Linked DNA regions of Schizosaccharomyces pombe. The gene in region 2 interacts genetically with the main gene of each other region. Each region holds a gene or a part of one and is shown on either strand. Other genes may lie near its edges.

Region 1 (3,437 bases), 1.2 Mb from region 2:
AGAAGACACATCTTTTCTTAAAAGCTCTAAGACATAGTTTGTTTTCAAATTGGAGTCAATAGACCCGCGTTTTAGTAAGGTGGACAAATTCTTTTTATCAAATGTAAACACTGAAACCTCTTCGTTGGTTCCCTTTTTGGATGCCGAATAAACAGTCCAAGGACCTACTTGGACTGAATTTTCTTTCTGGATATCATAATCATATTTAATTTTTTTGGAATTTGATACTAAACATTCAACGTTAGAATACTTACTTGGGATACGAAATGTATCTAAATAGATTATAGAAATGACGATGAGGATGATCAATTACATAAACATAACTACAATCTTTCATACAGCGCTGATAATCGAGTTTATCAAGGAATATAGCATACCTAGTCGAAGTGCATTGGCTAACATAAGCTGAAAAAGTGGATGGCTTTGGAAAAAAACAACTTAAAACAACAAAAACAAAAAGAAAAAATTATAATTATTTTTGAATCCCTTCGAAGCAAACCAAGTATAAAAATTGAACACCTTTTTTTCGCGGTAGTATACAGTGGAGATGGTAGGAATGAATGGCTTATGGATGAAATTTTTAGGGTCAGTTCAAAAAGCAGTGAAACTCTTATTTGGGAAACAGAGGATTAAATAAAAAGACAATTAATTAAAGATTATAAGAAAGTCGTATTTTTTAGTTTGATAATCATAACTTAGCCAAAAAACCTTGGGCAATGAGTCGTTCAACGTCTGTAGCACGCACATGCAATTGTGAATTTTTAGTAAGGTTAATAGTACCATATTCAGTTTCAATATCTCCAACGTCCTTCAAAACTCGGACGTCTATGAACAAATTTTTAGGAGGAACCAAAGAACCAGTCAAATCCAGCTCGGACCAAGCGCCTTTATAAGCAGCCAAAAGTTCTGAATATCTCGTTAAATAGTCACGCTCATAAGTACTTAGAGATGTATCTAAACAAGATTCCATTCGTTTGCCTCCGCTCCAACAGTATTGACGAAGCCGCTGCAGCCTTAAATTATGGTAAGCCATTAAACATCGCTTATTGTAGATACTAGAAGAATGAAACATCAATAGAGCTGCCGCTTCAGAAGGATGGTCCTGGGGCTGGAAAGGTTGACTAGCCTCATGTGTAACATTTTGAAGAATTCCTAGACTTTCGCGATCTGCTGCACGAATTTCGTTGACAACATCATTAACGGTGTCCGCTTGGTAAGGTGGGAGATAATCTAAATACTGAGTTCGCTTTGAGTCCCGAATTAATTTATTTGATCGATTCCCCAAACCATTCTCCATAGTGATTAGAAGCACTAACTATCACGATATGCTTAAACAGATTTTCCTAATTATGTTTAGTTTAAAAGAAACGGATTAGTATAATTAACAACGACACTCGATAGTTGTTTAAAGCTATATTGAATGGTTGTGGATGACAAGTCGTTGGAAAATGACATGTCTTTCATAAGACCATAATGATGCATTCCTTAGTAGAAATTTTACTGTAAATAAAACATGGATCTTTTATAACAAAATTATTAGTTGAACCTACTATGCGAATTTTTAAGAATTTATTATTTAAACATTCACACAGATTTAAAATGAAGCGTATACTTACTTGGATTACCTCAGTTTCATAAAGTAATGTATACTAATTCAAAGGATTGAATGAGCCCTAAAGGTATCATTAAACCGAGTTCCTCACATCGTCACACATGGAATGAAGAGATGATTTAACGAAGCTTCAAATTATCAACTTACAAATCATTGCTACTAAAATTATAGAAACCAGATAAAGTTTCATTTCAAAATAAAAGAAAGGATATCATTCAATGATTACAATTCTCACGTAATATTCAGAACACAGTACGATGTGCTTGCTTCATCGGACAGGGCTTTAAGGGAATAAAACAATCACATTGATGAGAAATTAGAATCTAAAGGGGTACAATTTAAAACCTATCACTCATATCCAAAAAATGGCAAGGCATATTTAGCTTCAAATAATTGAGCTTTAATGTAGCTTAAAATGATTTTGTCAGTAAGACTTTCTTTTCTGCTTACAACATAAAATCCAATCGATGTATTGGCCGTACTCAAAAAAATCCGCTTTATGTATAATCTGCGGAAGATTACACAAATTCAATAGCATGAATATCACAAAGAGCCAACGAACCAGTCCAGAGTAACAATCTGTTACAAAAACAAAACTTTTGATGCTTATTGATGATAGCAAAATACATGATCCAATATTTTCTCTTCAAATGATAGGTATAAGGACAGGGAAAGAGTCTCATACGTAAAGTAATAATATCTCAATTATTTTTTATTTCAAACGAAAGTTTCCCCTTTTTTTCCACTTAAGGAAAATTCCCTAAAATCCAACGACTTTTAATTAAAGGTTCATTAGAGATTAGTAATTATCATTACACGTATTATTTACATCGTTTTTCGATTAAAGCCAAACGATCAGAACCATGTTCTTCATATTCTTGACGTGATATCCATAATTGATGAAACGTTCCAAGACTACTTAAAATAGATCCACCTAACCATGAAGCATAACTGCGTTCAACAACATGACCGGAAGCATGGATTTTAAGACGGCTGCCAGGATATAATTTTGAAAGTTCATTTTGCAGACGAAGAGAGAATCCTTGCATCAAACTAGTGCCTCCACAAACAATAACATTGTTGAGCAAAGAAGCACGGATATCAACATCGCATTCCGAAATACAGTTCTGGAACAACTGAGGTATCCCCAAAATGCGAGAAGAAGTGTTGGTAACCGAAGAATCTTGTTGTGATACCTCATTATTTTCGGTTTGTTCTATTGGCTTCGAAGGTTCCTCGTTCATTTCTTCATCACTTCCTGGCACAAACAAATGTTCAGGAATTTGATAGCGTTCCGCGCCAAACATCATACGGGAACCGTCTGGAAATTCGAACTCTGATTCAGCAATCGTGGTTTCAGATGAAAATGGAACATCGGAAATGAGAGCACATTCTTCTTTCCATTCATCGTAGACTCGCTGGACCTGAAATTGATGATAAGAATCTGTAGTATCACGAGGACGTAACTCACAATTAGCTGGCTGCCCTATCTCCACTGGATTTTTGCTTTTCACTAAGTACTTAGGCATCACTTCGAAATTCTTATCCCTGAGAGTTTGCGCCAAAATATCGTTAATTGCATTCCCAGAAAAATGTTGAACCTGATAGCCTTTTTGAAGCACAAAACCATCATATATAGCAGACACCGAGCTACGCTCCGCACCAATGTCTACTAAACAAGCAGTACCTTTCCCGCTTGCAAACGCCGCACACGTCTCCTGCTTGGCGAGGTATGTTGCAGGACAACGCAAAGATTCAAACATCGTTTCTAGTGTTTTCACTCGATTTTCTGGGGGATTATCAAATGGTTCCGTAATCAAGATTG
Region 2 (7,608 bases):
CTATTTCAGAGTCCTCATCAGCATTGTTGTTTTTCACGCGAACAAACCCAACTTTTGTATTAGACTTTTCTAATTTTTGCTTATAAACCTCTTCAATAAACTCAACAATCCAACTCTGAAATTCGGGCTGAATGATTGGAGGTAAATGACTTTTAATGTGCCATGAAACAACTGTCTGTGGTTCTTCATTTGTAGCTGAAAAATTTGCTGCCACCATTTTTCCTCCATAATTAACGGAATCCATCCATAAAAGATAATCCCAGTATTCCGTGACATTTAGATCCAAAAAGTGAAATAGTGGTAACGTCTTAATGGATTTGAGTAAATAATTTGAATAAGTGACAGCGTTCTGGACGATTAATTTGCTCGTTTTGATTAATATTTTATTAGCAGAAGCGTGTATGATATGTGCTCCAAGGCGTTTTATCTCAGAGAGAAGTTGTAAAAAAGTTTTTCTCATTATAACTTCCACGTGCGAGGAGAGTAAAGGACTGTACAGATAAGATTTTGATGAAGAAATCCATCGGGCTAAATGTTGAATTATAAGATCAGCGAGATTATTACCGGATGCAGCTTCGTTCCACCAAGTTTTAACCAACGCCTTCAACACCGGCAATGAATGTGTCAGTCCAATATTATCATGTATTCCCAACTTTTCCTCCAGATCATCATTTATGGCGGTCATGTAATTATCATTCAAAGCTGCCATGTCGCCAATACCTTCTATGTCATTTATGAGAGCAGAATTGAGAATGCTACAAAGTGCAAGGTTGGAAAGAGAAATGTCAACACAAGCATTTGAATAAGCACCAGGATTGTTAACTTCTAGTGGATCTTTGGGACTGGCAATCTGCAGAATACTATCCTTCTCAATACCACCTAAGTCTGGAGTTGGGCCTTTATTCCACCAAAGGATAATATTATGTTCTTTCAGCTTTCTAGAGTAAACAACATCGATACTGTACTGAATGTCATCGCTTTCAAAGTTGCATAATGGGATATCTGAGAAGCGAGAAAGTTGTATGCGATGGAAAAGCCAGCTACCAATAGCTAAGAAATGTTGGATCATTTTCGTAGCAATGTGTTGTTTCCAAGAAAGAGACTGTATGTTGCTCTCAAGCCGTGGTATCATTATATACGGAAGCTCTTCAATTTGCTTCACATTTGCCTTCAATATGTGAGGGAGTGAACTTTCAATAATAAGCAGACTATTTTTAGTTTTAGTTGAAAAATATTGAAGCAACTTTTCATCTATCAGTTTGTACGCTTTCCTTTCGTTTCCCGAGAAAATGACATTACACGAAAGAGTATCAGGGTATTCGATACTACTTTCCTTAATTAAATTATCAAATTTCGACCGTAGCTCTTCGTAAATTTTGCTGATTGATGGGAAAGACATATCACTACCTGGCAGTTTGTCATAAATTATGGCCTCAACTTTTTTTAAATGTGGCATAAAAAGTGAAAAAACAAACCTATTACTAATGGAAAAATGGAATGCATAAAGGTAGTTCATCTCTACTCCATCAAGATAGGAAACATCGTTATCACTTGGGTCAGTGAACATTTTAGATTCAAATCCAAATTCGAAGCCTTTACCTAACGCTCCAGGTACTGAATTATTAAACCTTTTTCTGGATCCCATTTCTAATATCAATCTTTCAATTGGTTCTATACGAGTCTCATATATTCCACTAACAGACGGATGGGCAAAAATCATAGAAATTGATACCTTTTCCGTTAAATAGCTCTTTTCTGGAATTTCAAGTAAAAAAAGCTTATCCGAAGTGCTTCCATGCGGTAATATCGCATTGCTTTTTTCAATTAAGCATCCCTCAATTTCAACATTCGGTAAAGTCTCATCTTTGAAACATACAAAAAACTTTCTATTCACAATGAACCGTATCGAGGTCAACCGATTACGAATAATTACCCAAGCATGTAAAATACCAGGAACATCGGTTTCTCGTATTTGTAAAATATGCCATAAATTTTCAAACATAACTTCAGCAGAAGATTGTAAAACATTGGTGAATTGCCTTGATTGAAACCCAATTAAATGTCTTCTTCGAAGCTTGACCTGCTTCTGATATTTCCACTTTTTCTTAGCATACTTAAGCCAATTCGAATATCCATCCATAAAGGATACAGGTTTTACTTCAAAAGATACAGGTGCTTCCGAGTTCCCAGATTGTTGTAAAAGTTTACGCTTGGTAACTCGAGCGACAATACGCTTATCTTTGTGAGTCACACTTCCTAAATCCTCAATATCAGTAACTTTTGTGTTGTTTATTGTGGATGGATTTGTAGGGGCTAAGGAGAAAATGGAATCGATCTTTTTCTGTTGGTATTTAGAATTCAAGACAGCAACTCGTTTTTGAAGCCAGTCCGGCAATGGAAAACGGGTAACGGGGTTTGAAATCCTTTGGAGAGCAGCAGGGATGCTAATTAGTTTTTGTACTACTGATCCTAGACGTTTCAAATAATAATCCCAATCAATAATGTCTCTAATATCAACATCATATAGACCATTATCTTTCAACCAGAGCCTAAGAAAATGTCGCTTAACAGATTCTTCAGCAAAGAAAATAGCTACCGGTACTGCCCTTTCTGCAACTGGCCTTCCTTTTGGACTTGCGGAAATAATAAAACGACATGCTAGACCTTTGTCTTTGGTCATTTGATCACCCAAAAAGTCAGCCAGTCGCCTGGCTGTAGTAATGGATGTCGATTTTTGGCTTCCGTATTCAGACAAAGCTTTAGACATACTACGATTCTCAGAAATCAGTTCAATTAATTCATCATCTGTTAGGTTAGAGCCTTTGGTGAATAGAATCTCTAACCAAGTGTCAGCAACATAGGCAACTTCTTGATAGCATTCCTCTAAAGAATCACCTTTCAAAAAAACTTTAAATATCTGAGATTGAAAATCCTTAATGAGCTTCAATTCTCCTCTTCTTTTCACCTCAAAGCCTTTAAGTTCAGCTAAACTACCATCGAAATTGAAAACGGCATAACGCTTTTTTAAGTTTTTACCTTCTTCCGTTGAAGCAGGCAAAATCATAGCTCTATAAGGACCATCAACCTCAAAAAAAATGCTGTTTTCACTAGTTGTTTCATACACCAATTTCTCTGGGTCCTTTAAGGCAGAATATTGATGATTGGTGAACTTTTCATGAACCAGGTGATTTAACATAACGCATGGATAAGAGATAAAAACCTTTCCTCCGGATTTCTTTTTAAATTCAAAGTTTTCAGGAAACGATTCTGGAAGAATACACCAAATACCATCTGTGTCAAGTTCCAATGGCCTACCTGCACGTTCAACTATTTGACGAGCCATCTGAATAATCGTAGCGCCTGTCAAACATGTGATACCAGCCATTTCAATCGAATACCAACGGGAGCCTTTTCGCATGACATATCCATAGAAAGAGTTTAAAATAACTTTGTGAGCTAACTGTAAAGAATCGTAGAGTACGACCATCTTTTTGGCCTCCTCTATTTCAGCAAGTCCTCCTTTTTCCTTTATAGCAGCAAGTTGTTTGACCCATTTTTTTTGCAATCCTTTAAAGTCATAACGGCGATCCCTAAAGCTTTTTACCGTATCAATATAAAATGAGTTTTCCTTTTGACAAATTATAGTTTCCCTTTCGATAACGGTATTATCATATAGACGGTGATACACTTTACGGCTGTAATCCGCAATGCGCTTTTGCACCATAGCAGCTTGTTCTGAGGGAGAAAGCTCTTGAAATGACCTAAAAGGTGAGAAAGGGGTAGGGCCTGGAAAACGCTCAGATTGTAAAGCAGAATATATCATATGATATTCACCTTTTTTAGCAGGGTAATACTCCCCTCTCCATGCCCATACCATCCGACGATCACATGTCTTATTGGGCACATTAAGATCGCATGTTGCACAAAACGATTCATCTTTTACTGAATCTGGCTGTAACCGGTTGGTAATCATAATATTTGGGTACATTGAGGCGACATCAAGATGGTAAATCCTTGGCTTCTCCGACCTTTTTGGTCGATCACGAAGGTCACTTAGTTTCTTTAATATGCTGTCTCTAACCTCTTCATAATTTTCGATTTCATCAACATTGACGTTGTTTTCAACTGTTAAAGAAAAATCTAAGGCTTTGTCCAACTGTAAAATTAGTTCTTCATAAACTTTTGGATCCATGTTGAAATTAGTCGGCAAGTCGCTTCTAAAAACACCACTTTCAAGACTTTCAACATGTCCTCCAACATAAGTCTCACTTGCAAGTAAATGACCGTCGAAAAATTTTTGACTAGCATCAACATGTTTATTCGGAAGAATAATATTTTTTGTACAAGCCTCAACAGTTAAAAGCGTTTCACACAACGTACCCGTGCCTTTACGTAAAACTTCATCAGGATTTAATGGGATAATGTTACAAAGAGAAAAAATGAAAGGATGCACATATTTCATGTAAAGAAAATAAGTAGCAACAGCATCTGAAACTGAATATTGAGCAAGAACTTGAGGTTTTTCACTTGCATAAGGAGTCATCAATTCTGGATCTAGTTCGATAGGATTATAACCTAATTTACTGACAGTGACAGCTTTGAGACCTTGACTTCCTTGAGGTAAATAACTATCTCTCTTTACCCACCGGAAGGCATCCATATGACTACAATAAGAAGACTTATATTCATCCTCTGCGTCCCTGAAGAAACCAGTTTCTTCTGTTAAATTCAATCCGTGAAATGCAGCACGTGCGTCTACAAATGGCCAGTCAAAGAAGTCACCATTGTATGTAACTATTACTGAAGGCTTTGCAGACCTTATATGTTTAAAGAATCGATGAAGTAGGCCAACTTCATCAGGCTCATTAAAAATAATAAATGGGCCCTCAAATTCCTCCCTCGGAGTATAATGAAAATCTTCAATATTCTGGGAAATAATTTCTCTATTGGTAATTAAAAATCCTTGGCCATCAATCATATAAGATATCATCATTATTTTATCGAACGAGCTATCAGGAAACTTCAATGGCAGCTTAGTGGTTTCAATATCAAAAGCCATTATAGTAGGTTCTGCACGCTCGATTCGGGAAGCTAAAAGGGATATTTGAACATGGCCTTCATGATATGAAACAGTATACCATTGTCCGACTCGAATATTCAAATCAATAAGTGTACGAGAATGATACGGAACATCGTACTCACGGATATCTAAAACATGATTTAAAGGATCTTCAAATGCGTTTTCTATAATCCCGTTTAAATTCTCCGAAGACAAGTTAGTGTATGCATCAACGGCATCTTGTTGGGAAGAATTAGCTTTCACAGCAGACATCAAAGACTTCCTGACAGCCTGAAGGTCATTCAGGTTATCAAAAACCAACTTTATATACAACTTTTGGTAACCCACTATGTGGTTTTTTAGCTGTAAATCTTCTTTAAAGATACGCGTAGTAGATTTAATTAAGCCCACAAATTTTTTTTTTAAATAATCGTCAACCAAAGCTTCTTTACCTTCTCGAGCAGCAATGTAGAAGTAAGGAGAGTATGGAATGGTACACCGGAAAGTGTCACCATCGTCTTGAATGAAGTAAAAGTCAACGGCACTGAGGGTAGAATTGCCTTTGGTGCTTTCGATTACTGTTGGATGAACGTTGAGAAGCCAAGCTTCTCGTGGTTGTCCACCTTCATAGCTATCAAAACCCATCATTCGATCAATCTCATTCTTTTTGTAGACAATTTTCATAGGATCATTGAAGCCAACTTCCTCGGTTGATTTTGCAAACGTCCTACCGTTCGATTTACTTTTTCCATTGTAGTTACCATTAAATTTCCTAAACTGATATTTGGATGCTCCTCGAGCTGTTTTTAAGGGCATAGCAATACAAAATAAATATTAAAAAAAGAAAGTAAAAAGAGACCGACAGTTTAGTAATTTCCGATTGTTACCAGAGAATTCTAAATTAATAAATGGAATAGTATTAAGAAGAAACTTCTTCTATTGTACAAACATTAGGTATCCTTTTAAATGTGATATAGTGGTTTGGATTAATACCGAGTTAAGAGGCAACAAATTGGTAAACAACAAGTCGCGTCGCGTCGACAACTTGCAAATTATTTTGGGTATCATGTTCCAGTTCAAAGCATTACAATTTATTTATTTTTGCCATAAAATAAAGACAAAGTACAAAAAAATACAAAATTTAGTATACATTAGCCTAATGATCGTGTGTTTCGACCGTAAGTAATTATTTCAAATCGATATTGCTTCCTTTAAGGATTGAATTTAAAGAAAAAAAAAAAAAAAAAAAAAGCAGTTTTCTTTTAGAGAAGCATGGTGACGCGGTTTCTGCTTTCAGTGATATAAATTGTCAAAGCTTGGTTATTTTGGCGAAATATACTATCATAAATGGAAAAGTTTATATTAATTCAAAGAAAAAAATATTGTCTGATTGCTGAAGTACAGGATTAAAGACCCCGCCATAGTAAAAAAACTTAGTAGTGCTTAATTCAATCAGTTTGATACCTTATATTTACCTCTATTCCACCATTAACTGAAAAAGCTTAAACGAATCAGTAACTATGAGTACACCAAATGAACCCGAAAAACCTGGGATTATTGACGCTTTCAAGGTAGAATTTATAGCTTAAAAAGGACTAGTTTGTTGTAAATGCAAGGAATGCTAATACTACTTGTAGTCATTGAAGATGAGTGATTTTGCTCACATGGTACACCATCCTTGTTTTAAGGAATCATTAATCACCAGTGTCGTCTGTGGTCTAGGTGTTGGTTGCATCCATTTGTTTCTTCGAGGTACGAAAAAAAACATTATGCTGGTTAATTGATGTCCGTCAAAAAAAATCGCATGTCTTTTAATTTTCGGACCAACTTTTTAAAACGGTGATTTCAATCCGTTGTTTAATAAGCGGTTTAAATTCTTGCCGACACATGCTAACAATATTCAAGCACCTATTTCTAGAGCTGCTAATTGGGGGTTCGGAACTTATTTTGGAATGAGCATCGTCTCTTGGGAAGGGTGTAATTACCGCAAGCAGCTTGAAACTAATAACTTCAACATTAAAATTACAGAAGCAGCAGAAAAGACCCCGAAGCATCGCTCTTCAAGGTCCGCTCAAGAAATTGATGAAGGTTTTAACGAGTAATTGCATTCATTTGATTCTTTAGGTTCTACTTATTCTTAAGCTCTTTTCATCCCTCTATTGCATGGTATGCTGAGTTTTTCATTTGATCGATTAACTCTTATTCAATTAATATTTTAAATTTGAGTTCATCGGAATGGTTTGTCATTTTTAAATGGTATTCATTGAAGAGTGTGAATTATCACCAAAGAATCCAATGTTGAATTTTTAACTGCCTCGAAGAATTCAATCTTTTTAGGGTGCCATTACAATGGGTGGAATACATACTCTTGGTATCTTGAACGTTGTATTAACAGCAAAAAAGTCTTAAAAATATACAGCATCCACATTTTCCCAATATTAACTAAACAATGGTAGACTTTTTGTTCGTTATTTACTTTATAAGTACTAGCTCATCTCAATCTTTCGTGCGTGTATGTTTACCCCTTTATCGTAAAGTCAGTCTACGAC
Region 3 (7,380 bases), 510 kb from region 2:
GGAAATGATGACCCAAGAAATATTTCAGTACCGTTGGCTGGGGAAGAGCAAACCAACAATCGTGCGGAATTGCAAGCCATAATCCTAGCCCTTGAAAATACATCTGGCGATTTGACCATCCGCTCTGACAGCAATTATTCCATTAAGTCACTAACCACATGGCTGCCTAAATGGAAGAAAAATGACTTTAAGACTAGCAATTCACAACCTGTAAAAAATTTGGATTTGATCAACCGCGCTTCAGATTTGATGAGTGACAGAAATGTTTCGCTAGAGTACGTGAAAGGACACAGTACCGATTACGGTAATCAACAAGCCGATATGCTTGCTCGGCGAGGAGCTTCTGAGTAAATGGTCATCTATGATGAGCGCTGTAAAAAATGGATATAGGTACATTCTTTTGAAATTTGCCGTATAATTTTCGTCTACTCTTCGCTGGTTGTATGTGCTTTTTTTGTTCTCGTTTTGCATAATGCTACATATTTTATTGTAATTAAATATCATGCTATTATAACAATTTTAAAGAGGAAATTGAAAAGTATAGATTCGGAGCTAAGATAATTTTATTATTTAACGTTGAAAATGACACTTCGCACTAGTCAACAATTCCCTTTTCAATTAAATTTGGTTCGGTGTCTTAACGGCAGTCATCGAAATCATATTGCAATGGACTTAGCAAAGAATTAATAACAATTCGCTTCGTAATGAATTTGAAAAGGCTTAAATAGTGGTTTTGAAACGAACATTCACAGTTAATAGGTAGTTATTTGACTAACGTGAAGAAAGTGTACCAAAAATACTTTGAGTTTAGACAATGGGTGTCTCTAGCTTTTACCCACCTTTGCATGTACAGCGTCGAAGGAAATTATTTAAAATACTTCAAGGAGGCTTCCCTGTGCGATCTTTGTTAGACATTGGATGTGGAGATGCTCGTTTTCTATCATATTTAGTACCTTGCAATGATCAAGTGCCTATAGAATTTCTGGCCGGTATTGATATTAACGAACAAAGTATTGAAAGAGCTACTGAGGCTTTACAGGTTAGAACCGAAGACTTTTTACAACTACGTTGGCGACCGCTACATATTGAATTATTGCTTGGTAATATTAAAGATTTTACTCATTATAAACATGTTGATGCGGTTGTAGCTTCAGAGTTTATTGAGCATTGTCAAGTTGCAGAGATTTTAGCCTTTGAAAAACTTGTTTTTGGAAACTTGAAGCCCAATGTTTGCGTAGTGTCAACTCCGAATTTTGAATTTAACACAATCTTTGAGAAACTATCAACCTTGACAAGTAGTATATCATCTCGTACTTCTACCAATTTTAGACATCCTGAACACGTTTTTGAATGGGATCGAAAAGAGTTTGCTAAATGGGCTTATAAAATTTGTAAAAGATACCCAGAGTATACTGTTGAATTTACGGGCTGTGGTTTGCTAAATGATCTAATAGATGGTGACGATTTGTTACATTTTCGCCCATCATCTACTTACGGTTTCTGCACCCAAATCGCAGTATTTCATCAATCTAAAAACAATGCTGCTTCTCATTGCTTCTTAAAAGACCAAAATTCAAGCATCCTTCTTTACAAAAAGATTACATACCCATTTATGGAGCAACTATTTCCTCCAACAGTGCAGCAATTTATGAATCTTCTGAAAAAAGCATTTTTTGATCATTTATTTGGACGTCACTGTTTACTTTTATTCCAGGTTATTGCTGGCAAGTGTGCTTTGTCAGTAAAATTACCTTTCTTGTTTATCTGGGAGTCTTCGCCTCTCATTCGACATGCCTTCCATTATGATGATTCAATTTACTTATCATATTGTCCTGAATTAAAAAAAAGCAAACATAAAGGTATAGCTTTGGCAAACTCGTTTAGTTTTCGCATTGCAAAAGTACTTAAGAAAAGTAGAATTTTTATTATAACTTTTCATCATTACGTTTGATATACACATTTAGTAATTAAAAACATCCATCTTTTTCACCAGGACATTTCATCAAATCTTTTCAGTAAGTCAACAGATTGCTGAAGTTTCTTGTGTTCTGCAATTCGCATATAAAATATGGGGCAGTCTCTACTGGTACAAATGACGTCTTGATGCATACTTCCTTGGCATCGCTGACATTGAGTCCATAAGCGAGCAAAACGAACTTCTAAATCATTCACTTGAGCAACCTGACGTTGATACAGTTCCGCCGATCTATTTAGACAATTCTCACATAAAGCAGTTTTACCTTTTTTTATGGGAGCTTTGCATCCAAGACAGGTCTCAACCTTTACTGCGAATTTCATTATTCCTCCAACACTGGGGGCTGCCATGGAAATCGTCCGAGTATGGTCACCATGAAGTAAAGAGCTAGCTTTTTCACCAAGAATAGGCTCAAAAATTCTAAGCAAAGGTTTGGAGAGTTGATTTTCCAAATAATATTTTGCATCAATAGGAATGTTATTTTCCAATACATATATAGGGTCCTCCGACCTCATATAAAATTGATCACCTTGTGCACCTTTAATAATAACGTATGCAACGCGATCTCCTATGGCTGGGGCGGAGCCAGCATCTCGTTTACGCATTCGCTCAGCCAATTCAACGTGTGCCATTTTGGCAGCATAATCAGTTTTTGATAATGCCTTTGTGATTACAAGTTGTGACATATCAATTTTGTTTTGTAACAAATCGGAAATAACTTTTTTTGTAAACAACTGTGCACCCTCTACATCCTGATCAATTAACATTTTTCTCAAAGCTGTGTCAATCACATAAGATACTAGAGGACAGTTATCTCTTCTGACAGTTTCTATTCCTTTAGAGTCCATTTTATCATAAGTATCTGTACGAGTCCAAAATAATCCTGCATAACGTTTTTTGGAAATTAAAAGATATGGAAAGTACACTTTCTCAAACTCCAGTTTAATAGGATTCGGAAACTGGTCTGAAACATAATTAGCTGCTTCCTCTCCTAATTTCATGGCTTCAGGTAACGTTTTAACGCCAAACTTAACCATAACAGAATCAGTGTCACCATAGATTACAACTGCATCGTGAGAGTATCCATTCTCAATTCTGTATCTCTTTTCTACAACATCCTTGGTTTTTTCAATCATTTGTCGACCATAAGAGGTAACAGAAGAAGAAATTGCTAAACACGGCAAACGTCCGTTGGTAGCACCAGTAAATCCATATACTGAATTAGCACTTACTTTTAAAGCTAGCTGTCTACCATCCAAAACAGCCTTTTTGAATGGGTCCGTTTCCTTTTTTAGATCTGCTTTTGCTTTCTTACGTGCATTAAGTAAATCAGCTAAGATAATAGGGAGTAGTCCTTTACGAACATGTGGTTTAACGAAATAATCTCCGTTCGGAGTCACTGAGTAGTCAACATCTTGCTTAAGTTTTAATAATTCTGCAGTATTTGAGTCAAGTAATGTCGTATAGCATAAATTATGGGCTTGCATAATCGAAGGATAAAGTGAACTAAAATCCAGTGTTGCAATAGGGGTATCATAGTATCCTTTAATCGGTTCAATGACTGTAGCACCTTCATATTGCTCATCTGTTCCATTTACACGTATATTTGGAACAACTAGGTCATGTTGAAGAGCTTTGCGAAACAATTGAGAAATAACTTTAATCTGTTGGCCTCTAGCAAGAAGAAAATTAAACGGTACACCTGTTACTCTTGCCATTTCAGTATAGTTAACAAAACACATTAATTTGTCCATTAAGCGTTGGGGTAAATATGCATCTTTCAGACAATAAATAGCTAAACGTCTTCTAGAATCGGCAGTGCCATTTTGCAAGTCAGTGATGATAGAATAGTGTACATCTTCTTTTTGCTCGCCTAGAAACTGAGAGCAGACTGCATTTAAAGAGTAAGATCGAAGCTTAAAATCACGCTGCATTACTTGTAACATATCAAGCTGCAAACGCCCAGGAATACTAGTGGTTTTGCTTTCACGAGTACCATATGCTTTACTTGAAAACGTGGTTTCCTTTGCGACAGAAAAAAAATTATGAATACGGCCAAGTAATGGGAAATTGTGAATGCGTAAGCTTTTTGCTCGATCCAAGAGGTAAGGGATATCAAAGTTGCAGATGTTGTACCCAATTAAAACATCTGGGTCAACATCACGAACAAATTTTGACCAACTTGAAAGCATTTCAGCCTGATTTTGAAATTCATATACTTGTGTTCCAACGATTTGTGAGCATGTATCAACACAAAAGACATTACGAACAAAAGGAGTGGAGTCTCCATACTGCGTTACTATACTTGCAATTTGAATTACAGGGTCAATAGAGGGATCAGGAAAAACGCCTTTGCGACCTGCGCATTCAATATCAAAGCTCATGATCCTCAGTGGGGCCATTTTAGACCACTGGCCTTCAGCTGGAAGACTGATCAAGTCTTTGTAATTAATCCAAGCTTCAATTTGACAATTAGAAACTCGATTCTGGTAACGAAATTGATATTTTGAAGCAGGAAGATGAATCCAATTCATACCAACAACATCACAGTCAATCATGAATCTAAGAAGATATTGCGTATTGCTCTCAAAAGTAGTGACACCGACACCAACAGGGAAAAGCTCTTCGAAGTTGAATTCTCCTCTTTCAAATACATTTCGTGCTCGAGATAATATACGAGGGTTAGTAGTAAAGATTTTAATGAATGGAGATTTTTCATTTCCCTGAAATCCATATAAATTTTCCTTCATCTCTATAATGCAATGATCGATCACACCCCCATTACAAGTAGCATCTAAATCTTGTGTGAAACGTTCTAGCATCTCAGGTCGAAATCCAACCGGGGCTTTAACATAAAAGTACGGAAGGAATCCCACAACATGAACAAGGATGCTGTTTCCATTGTCAGTAACACCAAACAAACGAATTGAAGGTACAGATCCTTCTGTGAACTCCTCACTATCGATTTGCTGAAAATAAATATCATCCTTCTCAGGATTTATTGCAGGTAAAGCTGGTCGTTGCCACTGCTGATCTTTTGAAGCTATCAAGGAGTCAGTATACTAATAAATGGTTAGCTATCCAAAAAACCTTACATTTTATTTCATCTTGGTCCAATTGTGAAGCGTATTCAGCCAGCTCATCCTCAAAAGATGAAGTTTTTTCTTTTGAGGATGAGCCCTTTTTATCACCATATCCATTTCTTTCGCTTAAACGTCGCCGTTTGACATCTGTAATTTCGCCATGAATTGAACCATTTCTTCGGGGAAATGGATAGTTTTCTTTATTTAACACGACGCCCTCATTTGAAGACCTATCTGTCATTCTAGTAATTAATTTTTTATTTATTATGAAAATTAGAACAGAAAATGGTAAATAAGGAAGACACCAAGCTTACATGCTCTTGGTTTTTGGTAGGAAGACGAGCAACTAAAAGGGTTTTGTAGGTAACAACAAATAGGTACTTAGGCGAATATCTTGTAGGTAAGTTCAAAGCGTACACCAATAAATTTTGGTATGAGTGTCAACTGCTGAAAAGGTAAAACCACATTAAATAGGTTAGCTGTCAAATTACGATGGAGAAAGAAATCAAATATACAAGTTTATACCAATCTCCATCAAGCTACATAAACCACTACTTAATGTATTCTTGGGCATAACAAAAGACTAATTTATTATTAATGGAAGATATTAGTAATAAAAAGGACGCAATTGTCCAAAAACAAAAAGAACTAGATTCCAAGCAATAGGAATTAAGAAAACTGAGCAGAGTCATCAGCCTACAAACCGACAATTCCGATAATTTATTCTGAGACTTTGTTTACCAACGCCTAATGAATAATACAACATCAAGGTCATGTCAGTTAAACCAATACGATAACATTAACAGTAAATACGTAAAGAGATAGATTAAAAGCTGTGTCTGAAAGACAACTAAAAGAGCGAACCCTATACGGGCTAAAACCAAAACGGGATTTTAAGAGAGGGGTAAAAAATAAGATTTAAGAAGAACGAGGTTCAAGTGAGAGTGATTTATCAAATAAATAGGACAGATCTTGGTTAACAAAGCGACACCGATGTAAAATATAGCTTTGAAGATCAGTATTAGATTGCATTTCGTAAGAGGAGGATTGGAATCGGCACACATCTGCGACGACATCGGCAAGTCGATGCCGCTTATTAAAACTTAACAGATGTGGAGATGAATCAAGAACATCGGGGTTACCTTCATCGATAAAAGTCAAGTCACTTAATATGACACCCAAAAACGGTACGCAAGGAAGTTCAGCCTTGCGAAGTAAAGCACGATAAGTACTGAAATTTTTCTTTGTTTCCACGATTTCACGTAAACCAGACAGACATATTATGTCTTCAGCTTTAACAAGTTTGTACGCTGCATGTAAACGATAAATAGGAGCAGAATTTAAGGCAGAAACAATAGACATTAGAGTGGAAAAGTTTTGGAGGGACAAGCACTTGTAGGCAGTTTGTATAAAAAAGGATATTACTGCTGTACGAGCTTTGGTATTCTTTTTCTCTAAAATACAATTGATTATCCAATAGGTGAAACAATTCGAAAAGTTTATATAATTTCGGACAGCGCTGCGAGAATCGCGACTAACCCAGCTTCTAAATATCCATTCCCTCGAAGGAATCTGCTTTAGATAATCAAACTCCAATAATGTCATCTGGGAAGCAAATTCTTCAGGAGTATAAGCATATACGTTTAAAGAAATAAAAGTAGCCATGGGAGAAGATAATAGGCGTTGGGTTAACGAATCTGGAGGCTCTTCAGTCCAGAGATTGTCAATTTCCGATAAAATTACACTGCCAATATGAAAAGATGGAACAACATGGTCACGTAAAAAGGTACGCATCTCCGAAATCAAATAAAGAGTGTTACGGGCTTTTAAATCTTCAAAAAAGTATTTTTGAACCCACAAATTCATAACGGTGCAGACGTTCTTCTTGGTAACAAAATTATCTCCCTTTTCCCAAGAACTATATGCTGTAGCATCTAATCCTGGTGGCGGTAACTCGTGAAACAGAATGACAAGAAGCGTAAACAATTCCTGGGGGGTAGTGAACGTTTTATAAGTCAAAAGAAACGAATGGCGAAAATCTTTGTTCAAGTGAACGTTCTGGACAAGGTAATGCACGAGGGCCGGTAAAGTTCCACCTTTAACATTGTTATCGCTTTGCACAACTTTATTGGTTAACAAATTATCCAGCATCAAAATTGATTGCAAAGAGTTTCTGCCAAGTGTTAAGGTATCCTTGCTCATCTCGCTAACAGCGGTAAAATCAGAACTTCTAGAAATTCTAGTAGTACCTTTGTTAGTTTGACGAGCCGGTTCGTCATCTTTTGCTGTGTTTGCATTTGAAAACTTGTTTTCAAACTCTTT
Region 4 (4,193 bases), on a different chromosome or scaffold from region 2:
GTGACTCTCCAGGACCTGCTATTTTTGAAGTTTGTCAAAAACTGAAACAATGTAAAATGGAAAGTTCTAATAATGTCGGTTCTACAAAGTTGGCAGCGTTAGTTTTTGCTGAGATTATAGACGCTTTTATAAGTCATATTTCTTATAAAACTATGGTTTTTTCCCTCATTCTTGTATTTGGAAGTCTACTAACATCCAATTACGCCTTTGGTCTTTATAGAGCTAGACATTCTCAAAATATCCACGATTATGCTGCCAACGCTATCCCGGCGATGATACCGTCCAGTAGATTCCTTCCTTCCAATCTTTCTGATATTTCCAATAGAAACCTTATCGAAGCTGCCTCTCAGGAGGAAGAAATTTGAACGTCTTCATTTTTCTACTAACCTCATTTTTCTTAAAATCATTTTTCATCACTTTCATTTATATCATTACTTTGAACGTTATTGGTATGCTTTCTAATTTGGCATACAAATTTCGTTATTCGGATTCATTTTCTTTTATAATTTTGTTAATTTAGCTGTTCATTGTATCGTATTGCTTTGTTTCTCACAAGGGTGAGCCAATTAATATTCTAACTTTGAATTTCTTTTTTGGAAAAATGCATTATTTATAAGCCTTTTAAACTGTAGTATATTAGTAAATTAAGCAAACTAAGCTTTTAAAACGGAGAATGATTGAATGAACTGTACATCTTTTCATTCAAACATTCAATGTTTGATTTTTATTTGTTAGACATAATTATTCAGATAATGGCGATGGCTATTCACACGGCAGAGAGTTTATTTTTTGTATATGGCAGTTGTGTTCTGAGTCCACATAAATATCACACCAATGGAATCCGAGCTTGTACGACTTCAAATCCAGGTATATTGGAAATTCCATTTCTTTTTGGAATAATTCTTTAAAGCCGGAAATCATAGACGCAAAATATGAAACACAATTCGGTCGTAAAGCTGCCCAAAAACTATTCCTTAAACAGTCAATTACCTCCATTTTTGCTGTTAATGGATTTACTTCCGGCAAGACCAAACTGGTATTTAAATCAGATTGGCGGGTTAAATCTATCATTCAATTAGTATTTCGTAAAACAAGCAACCCTTACTCGCTACAAATCCGGTGATCACCAAAGTTAACGGTTGAATTTTTAAATGCCCAGAAACACCTGAAAAAAGGTTGGAGAACTTGCATAAATCATTTCTCAAAAAGTTTGAGGATAACGGGTTCTCCAAGTTTGACACTAAAATAAATCAATATTCAATCCCATAAATTTACCATTTCTTACGAATTTCAGTCGTTGTGTCACTAACGCATGAATAATCACTTAGATTGTCAGAAGAATGATTGATTGGGCTAATGCATAGCAAATCTCCAATATAGGTATCCTTGAAATAATGCTTTTGAGAATTGGAATACAATATCTTCACTCGCTGACCATTGTTATCCAGTACAAGAAAATTTGAATTAACGGCAGCTAAGCGTCCCACTTGCCAGGAGTCGCATTTTTTTTCTTCAAAGTCATTCTCACTTAAAATTACCAAAATACCGATCATTCCATCCTGCCAGTTGGTACTGCCTTCCCAAACGGTACTCCAAAATGGAATAAGTAGGTATTGTTGCTTGTCTAGCAGCTTAGGGAAATCATGGTAAGTCCCTGAGAAATGTATAAAATTGGTATTGTTGTCTATAAGAAAAGCACCTTTTTTGTCTAAAGAAATGATGCGACCCAATTCCACAGTAATTCGTTTCACACCTTGATCACTTTTGCTTATAGTAATATCACGTATTTGAAAGAATTCATGTTCAGTTGATTCAACCATTGATTTCACAAAACTTTTTGATGCAGCATATTGCAATACTGGAACAAAGCTAGTTGTAGGAAGGAAACGTATTTGCTTTCGTAAATACCATTTTTGATGGATGCGTGACTGAGAAAAGCGTAAAGTTGACTAAATAAAGGTCTTAGATAATCACTGTTATAAAGGAGATGATATTCAAAAACCTTACACCTTTCAAAATGTTAAATGGTTCATGGAAGAGTAAATAAAAACTGGAATGCAAAATCATTTCGCACGTATTCTCCTCACTATCTTTCAGCTTCAAAGACGGTATTGGGGTATAATAATAATCATAGCAATGAAAATGAAACTGGTCTTCCAAATAAATAACTGCATCTGATTTCGTTAACCATTCCAAAGAAGAAAAAACTGTTTACAAAAAAGGAGGTCAATATCTCTTTATACCAAAAAAAAAAGTAAACTTTCTCGTTACCATTGTCCAATTTATTTCTCTCCGAGCACTACGTTCATGCATGTCAGATTTTATCGACTTGTAGAGTAAGTAGATTCCTTACCGCTAATTCAATCTCGTTAATTAAAATGGGATAGCTAAACCCTGAGGGATACTCCTTTAACAAGCTGATAGTTTTGTTTATTAACCTAAATTGTCAGTAGCCACTCTTTACATATGCGTTAACTTTTAGCATCTACTCACCAGTAATCAGTGAATGCTGGTTGTTTAGATTTCTCAACTAAGCGGTTTTCTAGATCTTCTTTTATTTTTTTAATCAGACCTGGAAAATCCATATAATCATTAAATTTACTACTGCTCTAAGATTAGTAGTTGATAGAATATAGATAATTGACAGCTGCCTAAATACTCCATTTAGTATCATCTGTTTTTATACTGTTACGCCTAATGATATTGAACAATACTTATAAAATTTTTACAATTTAAAAACTTGTTTGCTGTCATTATTTTTGTTATTTCATATCACAATCGAAATTTTAAGTAAGAAGACACAATAAACAGCATATAACCAAATATAATATTTAATTCATTTAAAACAGATATCTATCCGGTTTTGGGATGCTTGTCAAAAAAGATGAAACATCTAGCAAACAAAAAAGCATATGCTTGTAAAATATTAAAACAAACTTAAAACTACCCATCTAGAGAAGGAATGCACTCGTAAAATTAAATTGTTTTCTTATTATCTTCTACTAAGAAGAACCAACGTGCGATGAACGTAGCCTGGCGGGTTAGTAAACGATTAACGAAATAAGGAATTTACTATATTGACATACCGTTGAGATTGTTCTTGGAGAAGTAAATTCATAATAATAAGGGACAGCACCAGGTACAACAAAATTTTTAATCAATGATGCCTTTTCGGATGATTCTCTATCATTACTGTCGCTAACCGGATTGACATCTCCAGCATGTAATGTCATCATAGGAATAGTGGATTGATTTGTCCACACTAAATTTTGAATAGAACGGGGACACAGAGCAAAAATGCCTTTTACAGAGTTTGGTCGAATGTGTTTTAGACTCTCAAGAGCGACAGACGCACCAGTATCTTCACCTAGGAAAAAAATACGTTCTGGATCTGCATCATAATAGATGGCATTCTCTACTATCCAATCTACACACAAAGATACAAATTCGACGGCATCGGAAAGGGGAAATTTTGGAGGCTGGGCGTAATTGGGAACCACTACGAAGAAGCCTAAAGATGAAAGGTAGGGAATGATAATGCTTTCGGATTTCTTAGCACCACAAACCCAAACAATAACAGAAGATGCGGATGCAGATTTTGGAGGTGAATAAGCGTTTAATAAAAGGTGACTTTTGTAAACGAGACGCTCAGCATTATTTTTGGCTAAAAGCCAGTTAGGAAGATAAGAGATGTATGGGTAGCGTTTGACGGTTGTCCCATGTAAATCATTGATAAATAACCTACTGAAGCATTTTGCAAGTGAGCTATTTTTTTGCTGATCGCGGTTACCGATGCTTGGTTCAAGAGATGCGGGTAATTCAGACTCGAGTTTTCGGGCGGCAAGTACATTAACAGCGGCCAAAGCAAACAAGGATCCAAGGCCAAGCATATCAACAAAAAATATTTTGTCGTAGAAAGAAGAAAATTGGGCACCCATACGCTCAGCAATTATAGTAGCAACGAACTTAACGCTTGCCGCTTCTAAGCTTTTCTCTGAAACAAAAGCAAAAAAAGAAGCAACATTTGATTCAGATGCACCGATGACTATCTTGGACAACAACTTAACCAAAAATTTGCGAACTTCCAGCTGGTATGCTGAAAGAATCACAAAAGATGAAAGTACTACCCAAATAGAATAAAGAATCGTCGCAAACCCCATTACTACATGGAATGATTTTTGTCTCAATACTAA

The links.
Region 1: mutations in cdc20 (region 2) and psf1 impair growth when combined (synthetic growth defect), as found in Schizosaccharomyces pombe (one study listed by BioGRID).
Region 3: mutations in cdc20 (region 2) and cdc6 are lethal when combined (synthetic lethality), as found in Schizosaccharomyces pombe (one study listed by BioGRID).
Region 4: mutations in cdc20 (region 2) and cdc24 impair growth when combined (synthetic growth defect), as found in Schizosaccharomyces pombe (one study listed by BioGRID).

The regions. Positions count from the first base shown.
Region 1 is NC_003423.3:2,013,360-2,016,796, reverse strand, and holds psf1 (GINS complex subunit Psf1), read right to left. Parts: upstream 1,436-3,437; 5' UTR 1,298-1,435; coding exon 689-1,297; 3' UTR 501-688; downstream 1-500. Other genes in the region: serine/threonine protein kinase Ppk32, read right to left, coding at 1-227, 378-402; alp5 (Ino80, NuA4 and Swr1 complex actin-like protein Arp4), read right to left, coding at 2,434-3,437. UniProt on the Schizosaccharomyces pombe protein: The GINS complex plays an essential role in the initiation of DNA replication.
Region 2 is NC_003423.3:3,252,156-3,259,763, reverse strand, and holds the start of cdc20 (DNA polymerase epsilon catalytic subunit Pol2), read right to left. Parts: upstream 6,043-7,608; 5' UTR 5,876-6,042; coding exon 1-5,875. Other genes in the region: respiratory chain complex IV assembly protein Cox20, read left to right, coding at 6,580-6,630, 6,697-6,811, 6,965-7,161. UniProt on the Schizosaccharomyces pombe protein: DNA polymerase II participates in chromosomal DNA replication.
Region 3 is NC_003423.3:2,741,762-2,749,141, reverse strand, and holds cdc6 (DNA polymerase delta catalytic subunit Cdc6), read right to left. Parts: upstream 5,381-7,380; 5' UTR 5,300-5,380; coding exon 5,071-5,299; intron 5,019-5,070; coding exon 1,987-5,018; 3' UTR 1,952-1,986; coding exon of another isoform or gene 815-1,951; 3' UTR 546-814; downstream 1-545. Other genes in the region: ribonuclease H Rnh1, read left to right, coding at 1-351; hen1 (S-adenosylmethionine-dependent methyltransferase), read left to right, coding at 815-1,951; Ras guanine nucleotide exchange factor efc25, read right to left, coding at 5,977-7,380. UniProt on the Schizosaccharomyces pombe protein: Catalytic component of DNA polymerase delta (DNA polymerase III) which participates in chromosomal DNA replication.
Region 4 is NC_003424.3:2,863,203-2,867,395, forward strand, and holds cdc24 (DNA replication protein Cdc24), read right to left. Parts: upstream 2,625-4,193; 5' UTR 2,586-2,624; coding exon 2,494-2,585; exon of another isoform or gene 2,439-2,493; coding exon 2,354-2,438; exon of another isoform or gene 2,300-2,353; coding exon 2,272-2,299; exon of another isoform or gene 2,208-2,271; coding exon 2,008-2,207; intron 1,950-2,007; coding exon 1,286-1,949; intron 1,241-1,285; coding exon 1,106-1,240; intron 1,065-1,105; coding exon 763-1,064; 3' UTR 528-762; downstream 1-527. Other genes in the region: brr6 (nuclear envelope protein Brr6/Brl1), read left to right, coding at 1-365; SPOM_SPAC8F11.08C (esterase/lipase), read right to left, coding at 2,977-3,033, 3,087-4,160. UniProt on the Schizosaccharomyces pombe protein: Has a role in the progression of DNA replication and in the maintenance of genomic integrity. Acts during S phase, after initiation, where it is essential for completion.